Linked DNA regions of Drosophila melanogaster. The protein of the gene in region 1 interacts with the protein of each later gene in a pairwise test. Each region holds a gene or a part of one and is shown in the gene's direction. Other genes may lie near its edges.

Region 1 (3,175 bases):
CGCTGTAATCAATTTTAAGGATGTATATAAATATCACTTCCCAGTTAGGCAACATAATGTTGCTAACGGAAATACTTTTGGAAGTGTAGTGTCCCGCTTCGCGCCCTAAACTTCTGACCGCACAACACTTTCGCAGCCCAAACAGTGCGCATTAACTTTTTGTCTCTCTGTGAAATCGGAATTCTACTTTATTTATTTTGACAACGTACCCACCCATACAGATTGTAAGTATGACGGGAGAGATATATTATGCAAGCCTAGGATTGGGTCAAACATGAGCAACGGACTATTATAGTCAGGTCTAATTGGGTAATATCTGGTTGTTTAGATGTTTACCGCTGCTTTGCCGCTCCCCAAAAAATTTACTTTTGCTTGGGGGAGAACTCAGCAAAGACATACAGGACGACAGTAGGATTTCGGGGGGAATGTTAATCACTGGCGACGGACACACCCGCTGTTAAATAAGGATACTGTGCTGGGTGGTTTGCGCTAGTGAGAACATACATAAATAGATTGTGTTGATTTTGGATAGGACCAGACCGAGCAAGCAAGTTGCACCAAACGACGAGCAAAGATGATGGATGGAATCGGGGTTGAGCGGGGCTCAGACACACGCGGTTGTGCGATGACGGCGTCGGCACGAAGCTTGCCACATGGCACAAGAGATTCCGTGGCCCACGAGGATGACCTCACGGCGGCAGGAGGGATTGCGCAGCACCGTGGTGCCATCGACGGGAGATAAGGCGGATTACAGCTTGTTTTGCATGGCGGGTGTGCAATTAAAATCCCCATTAACCAGCCAATTTAATGCTCATGCACCAGCGGCACGCGACGTATTCAAGTTTTCAAGGTCTGCGCTGCAATCAATATGAGAGTTATTAGAGTTTCCTGTGCTTTCTTTCTGCAGCTCCGCCATCGAAATGTCCACTTCCGTTGGCCCGGAACCGTGCATCGTGGTCTGCCCCAGTTGCCGTCAACAGGTTACCACTCGTGTGGAGCCGAAAGCCACCACCAAGACTCACCTGATAGCATTGATTATGTGCCTTACCTTGTAAGCCATGTTCGATATTGATTTCTTAACATTCTGGGTGCATTCTCATTGAGTGATCTCTTTCGTGCAGCCTTTGGCCCTGCTTGCTGCCTGTACTGCACTCAATGCGCCCGGAACTCCGACCACCACTGTCCATCTTGCAACGCCTACATTGGCACCTACGAGCGCTGAGCAACTTCCGCCGGAAGTTGTTTTTTTTTTTTTGTCGTGGACTGCAGCCAGCAGCCGTGCCGAAATGCAGCCCCCATTACTTATCCCCACTTGATCTATTTTTAACTCTCTCACATTTATTACTACGCACTATTTTGATAACAAAACAAATCATTGTAGTGCCGGCATATGTATTCTTCAGCACACCAATAAAAGGGTTCAAGGAAGAAACGAGTGGATTTTACCTGGGGGTTGATTTGTTTTAGAGACAACGCAATTCTTGAGCAGAGTTGAGTATTTCTTATGTTTTCAATAAATATGCAAATTGTTGTTATATACGTGCTAATAGCATAGCTGGAAGGACCATTTCGGAAGGGTAAAAGCTACTGGTTTGTTTACCTGACAATGGAATACCCTACTAAGTGCTAACATTTCTGTTTTATTGGTAAGTTTTGATATTAATTAATTCATCATGGCTGAGCAATTTCTTACTAAAGCTTTTCATCCTGCAAAAAAAAAAGAACACTTACTCATGTAAAAGCCCTTATTCTGATAGCCACATAATATTTAACGGAAATCGCTTAGCAAGCCATCCGACATAGTAGGGCTATATAGAATTCGCATCGCGCCGCAACTCGAAAGTTCGCCGAGCAATGTTGGAGGAGCTCTCTGCGGTTTCAGTCGCTGTCGGCAATTCAAACGCGTAGCACACATCGGTCGGAATAATTAGAATGGAGAAGAACTTTCAATACGAGAATATGCAGCCTCAGGCTCCGGGTTTCCAGGCACCGCCCAGTTATGATAGCGCACCGCAGCAGGTCTATCCTCAGCTCCATCAGGGACAGGGAGTGATATTGCAGGGTGAGAATACAGAGAACTATGAATCAATCGGAAATAATGGTCAATTCTTCTGTGCAATTCAAACATAAAATATAATATCGCATATTATACGAAATCCAATCGTGCCTCTTTCAGCTCCACCCAATGTCCTGGGCCAATGTCCATCCGTTGCCACTTGTCCGAGCTGCGGCGTCCGCAGGGAGACGAAGGTGGAGTTCGAGCCCAGCACCAAGACCCACCTGTTGGCCCTACTCATCTGCATGCTGGGGTAAGTGCAGCCCGTTTGCTCCACCTGCCCGCAGGACTAATGGCCATTTTCAGGGGCATTTGCTGCTGCTGCATTCCGTACTGCACCGACTCCTGCCAGTCGGCCAAACACACCTGCACCAGCTGTGGAGCCTACGTGGGCACCTACAAGAACTAGAAGTGCTATCTCAACACCAAATATTACAGGGATAGATCCCACTTTGTATCTCCACACCTATTGATGGGATCAGATTTGGCACGAATATTCACGAAATACAACTCTGGTTCAAATCAATTGAATATATGTATGTAATTTTCGCATTGGTTTACTTTTCAAAATAAATTTCTAATCACACAAATTGTTGGCGATATATGAATGTTAACACTTTCGTATATAATATTAATAAATCCCGGAAATTTCTGAGGCGGGAATATATTATAGATATTTTTATCTGAGGTTCTGCATCCTACGCCCTTTATATAACTTCATTCACATTGTTGATCTAACAATCGCTGCCTCTTCTTGAAACTGGATATATATATATATATATATGTATATTGAACAACTTATGTCAATGAACAGTGGAAAAAGGTTTGTAATTTAATACCTAGATTTTATATTTCCCCTCTTCGAATTAAACACTAAACAAAGGAATAGGGAAGAAACAAGGTAATTTGATCGCTTATCCGTTTATTTGATTACAACTTTTTCTGCAATAATACCAATAAAAAAGATGGGCAACAATATTTAGTTAATTTCATATAATTTAAAAAATGTTGGCAACTAGTATCCAGATTAATACCTGAAATGATGCAAATTCGATGTCCAATTTTATTAACATGTTTATATAAGTAAGTTATTATTCAAGCAAGCGGATTTCATATTTG
Region 2 (4,695 bases), on another chromosome or scaffold:
AATGCCAATGTAATAGATACATTTTAAATGTTTTTAAAATTTATATAAAAATTATAAAAAATTAAAAAGACAAGTAATTTAACAATAATGAATTGTATTAGGAGAGTTTAGTTTAAATTTTTTAAAGTACATTGTAACTATAAGAATTATTTGTTTTAAAACAAAGGCAATGTCGGAAATGGCGTTCGTCAAACCACAAAATGCAGGGAAATGCAGTCGGCAATGAGCAGAAATCAGAAAGTGACAGGGAGAGGGCCAATTGGATTCGCAACAAAAGGTATGAGCAGGTAAGCGTAAGCCAACTCAAGGAGGTGTGTCCAACGCGCAACAGTGTGTGTGGGCCAAAACACACACACACGCGCACTAAGTGCACACACAGCCATGCTAAACAGCCAGCGAAGAGAGCGAGCACAACATTAAGAATAGCAAGAGCGGCGATTTGACCATTTTAATGAGGGAATGACAACGACAATTGGCATCTATCATTAAATGGCGGTATTCAGAATTAGTGACAATCAGATGAAGACGGCATTTCTTATAATTAACTCTAACCAAGCAAGACGCAACGCCTCAGCGAGAGTTGGCATCACGCATACGCCGCATTGGCCGGGAGGTGGATCCCTGGGGATCTACGGGGTTAGCTGTCTGTGCCGCTTTATTAGCGATATGGCTTTCTTAATGAACCAAAAATAGATGCACGCGCTCCGAGAATTCCCACAGCCCCGCCCCTTTCCTTTTCCTTCCGTTTCTCTCCTTCTATCCTTCTCCCTCGGCTCCTTTTTCGTCTGCTCCTCATCTGTGTGACACTAAGAAGTCATGACATCGCTCGCCCACCCTGCGTAACGCTACGGATACGCTTACTTGCTTCAGATTGGCCATTCAAGCATTCAGAAATTAACTCCGCCCGGTTGCGTATGCTCACTCACTCGGTTCGGTTCGTCTGTGTAGGTATTGCAGCGGAGAGAGAGCGAGAGTACGAATTCCGATCCATGGATACACCCACACATCCGTTGGCACACAAACACAAAGTTGAGCGACTACAGGAGCGGTAACTGGGGAAAAAAGGAGAGATGGGTTGTTAGCTTAGTTTATTATCCATCAGCAAGAAAACGGAAATATGTTATGATAAATAATAAAAAAATTGTATAGATTATTGTGTATAACTTGATGTAATAAAGTCTTAAAAACCTTCTTCTAAACTTCTGAATTCGATCTCTTTATTAAAATATTTAATTTATATGAACCCTTTACTTTAAACACTTACAAGATATTTCGATACCAAAGTTACTGGCGCCTTAACTCTTCTGGGCTTACCCTCAATTCGCTGCCTGCGCTCCTGATCGCTGAAAGACATTCTTCATTTTTATTATTTGCCCGCGGTCCACCAACAAACGCACACCAGTGCGCGATCATCGCCATTAAAACCCACATATACGCTCGACCGACCGCCCCTTCCTCTCACGGATGAGTGTGTGTGTGCTTGCGGAGGAGAATGCGGAGAGTGAGAAAAAGAGAGAGCGAGATCTTGGGATGCTGCGTCGACGCGGTGGCTTCCACTTCCACTTGAGCCTGTAGATGTGGATGTGACTGTGGCTGTGGTGGTGATATTCAATGTGTGCGTGGACGTGGATTGTGGGCGATCTTGATCGGCAGCGCCGCGGGCAGCGTTAGTCGCAGCAGACACGGGTGACGAGCAGCAACGATCGTTTTTGGAGAGCGCGCCAGGTTTTCCCGATCCAAACCGTTCCCAACCGATACGCTACGACCCGATACGCTAGAGCAAAAAGGCCATCGAAAGATTTAAAGGCGCGCGCACGGATCAGTGAATGCTGTTTAAATCGGTTCATTTGCAAACCATCAATCGCACGGGAGGTCCGCCAGTCAAGTCCAAAGTAAACCGACATAATTCCCAAAATCAAAGCATAACAAACCCATTGTAGTGTCATTAAGTGTGTGTAGTTCCCGCTTCCCCAATAAGGTGTGATAAGTGCGTGATAATTTTCGAGCCAACCTACTCGAGAGCGATCGTTTTGGCCCGAAAATGTGCTAATCAGATCTCAGTCTTGGTTCACGGCATAGTAGGCATCGCAGCCCGATGCTGTCCCGCACAACTGGCGCCAATTTGTATACAAATTTCATGCCTTAATTGAAACTCACATTATAGCCAAGTGCGAAAAGTTAACGACTAGGTAACCACCGACAATCCCCAGCAAAGCAGAGTCCAACTATTCCGGCGAATCCAATCGGAGAAAGTTCCACGGCGGAGTTGGCGAAAGGCAGATTTGGGTGCCCACAATTGCAATTCTGGAGTTCTTCAATCAATTGCCATCGGCCGAAATGGACCCAGGTATGTCTCAATCCATGACTCACAAAGATATAGGCCTCAGAATTCATTTCCAAATTAAAATTTTTAGATCTATCGGCATTTTTGAGGTGCCGACGGCATTGGGTTTCTTTAAAAAGCGTAGTAGCTATTTTATTGATAGATTTGGGTTAATATAATCAGAAAAACAAGAATATGTATATTGCAGGAAATATTGATAAGACTTTTGAAATCACATTTCCCTCTCTATCTTAAAATATAAGGTAACGAAAAGACAAATTCAAAAGTAGCACTATATTTTCACTTAAATCTCTTAACTTAAGCCCGCCACTCGAGTGTTTTGCCAATAAAGCCCTCTTGTCCGATCCTCCAGCCAAGTCCTTATCCGGATCCCCTAACTGCTTGGGATAAACACAATCGCTCGCTGGACCAACTTCTTTTTTTTTTTTTTTTTTTTTTTGGGCAACATCAAGAGGCAGATGTTTGCTTTTGATTTTCGTTTCAAAAGGCTGCCGTCGCTTGGCGCATGATCGACAGCCTCGCGGTAGCCGCGGCACTTGTTTGACTTTCGATGATGTCGCCGACGTCCGCACACGTACCCGATTCCAAAACCCAAAACCCTAAACCGAAAATCCAAAACCCATAACCCCAATCCCAATCCCAAACTCCGGAGCCAAGGCTCCTAATTTAACTAATGATCGTTGTAATGTTTCTGCCTTTGTCGTGCGGTCTTCACTTTTGGCTCCAAGTGTCCGTGTCTCTGTTTGTCCATGTGCTTTGGGCCAAAAGCAAAATGCGAGTGCAAGACATGGCCTTATGGCCGAAAACTACGCTACACAAGTGTGTAAAGATTTGATCAGTTCTCTCAGTTGTTGACAAACATGTGCGCAATCGAATAATTTGGCATGCGTCGATTTACTTTTACAAATTTCGAATTGCTTAGATCATCTTTTGAAATAATTTGCCAATAGTTTTCAATTTCTATGAGTGACATACAAGTGTGACTGACTATGGGTAATCTTTTATAATGGTATTCCCCACTTAGTTTCAAGTATTTATTTGTTTGCTTGAGCCTCTTTATGGCAAAGTATCAAAAGGACATACACGAATATATATTTTTCCACTTGTCCGAGCTGAAAAGAAGTTATAAGTCGGCTAGGAGGTCCCGCACTTTTGGTCCATTAATGACATGCTTTCGATGTTTTGACATTCTGTTTGTACGCCAGCATTGTTTGCTCACTAGGAGACGTCGAAAAAGATATAGACGCCGATGCAGACCCATGCTCATGCCCGAACCCAAACCAAAACCCAGACTCTGGACCAGAGGTGCAGAAATGCGTGACTAACGGCCACCGGTAGCCATCTACTTCGGTAGCTAAACATGAAAAGCCCACCAGACGCGGGCCGCAAGTGCAAGATGTTAAAATCACAGAAGGGGCAGTAAAACAAAAGGCGCAGACGATGGCCACGAAAGGCAGGCAAACACTTGAGATCCGAGGAGGAAAACGTCGCGTCAATGTGTACATGCCTTAATGGAAGAGTCTATATGGTATGGGAGTAGGTGCCCAGGAGCAGCGACTGCGGGAGGATGCGGCGGGGACTGATCTGAAAGCCCGACCAGTAGCTTCCTCCCGTGGATACCGATGATTGCGGTTCGGGTTTGGGAAAACGCTTCACTGCCTCGGCTTGATTGTGTGGCGTCGTTTCCCCTGAGTTCTTTAATTAAATCACATCCCCGACCGCTGATGCGGAACATTCATTAAGCGCATTTGCAGTCATTTTGGGCATTGCTCGGCGAGCTTAAAAAAGTTGCACTAAATAGGCTTTGAGTATAATTAAAACCTCCAAAACCCTTTGCATTTTATCCTTTGAATAGTATGTTCTACTTTTTGTTGTAATATGCTAGGTTTCTCACTGTAGATCAGTTGACATTTGCTCCCTTTGGGCGTGGACATCTCCCCATGGATCCACAACCTCTGACATCTGACAAGTGTAGTTCATGTTCTTGGAAGCAAACTCAGCTCATTACCATATATTTAATGAGTTTCTAATCGTTAGGGGGCACGTGTTTGAGCCAGTTCATTCTGGGATAATGAATGCGATCGCATCAATAAGCGGGCGGCTAACATCTGGTTCTAACCCCTAACCCCTAGACTCTAACCCCTTGAGATGGCCTGTGTCAAGTCCCATGGGGGCGATGGCGACCCAAAACCGGAACTGCCACAATCATTCCAAACTCCATTTCTCAGTCTCGAATTTGGAGTCCTAGGATCAGAGCTGTGAAACTGGCTATTTTCCAGCTAGCTCTAGAAGTTCATTTCATACAATAAAATGATATGAAATTATGTAGCTAAAGGAAATTAAAGGGTTTG

The links. The genes of interacting proteins can lie anywhere in the genome.
Region 2: the proteins of CG4250 (region 1) and Poxm interact in a two-hybrid assay, tested with the Drosophila melanogaster proteins (one large-scale study listed by BioGRID).

What each region holds. Positions count from the first base shown.
Region 1 is NT_033778.4:22,661,813-22,664,987, forward strand, and holds CG4250 (uncharacterized protein), read left to right. Parts: upstream 1-1,879; 5' UTR 1,880-1,932; coding exon 1,933-2,101; intron 2,102-2,176; coding exon 2,177-2,309; intron 2,310-2,362; coding exon 2,363-2,465; 3' UTR 2,466-2,662; downstream 2,663-3,175.
Region 2 is NT_033777.3:8,330,767-8,335,461, reverse strand, and holds the start of Poxm (Pox meso), read left to right. Parts: upstream 1-1,669; 5' UTR 1,670-2,337; coding exon 2,338-2,347; intron 2,348-4,695.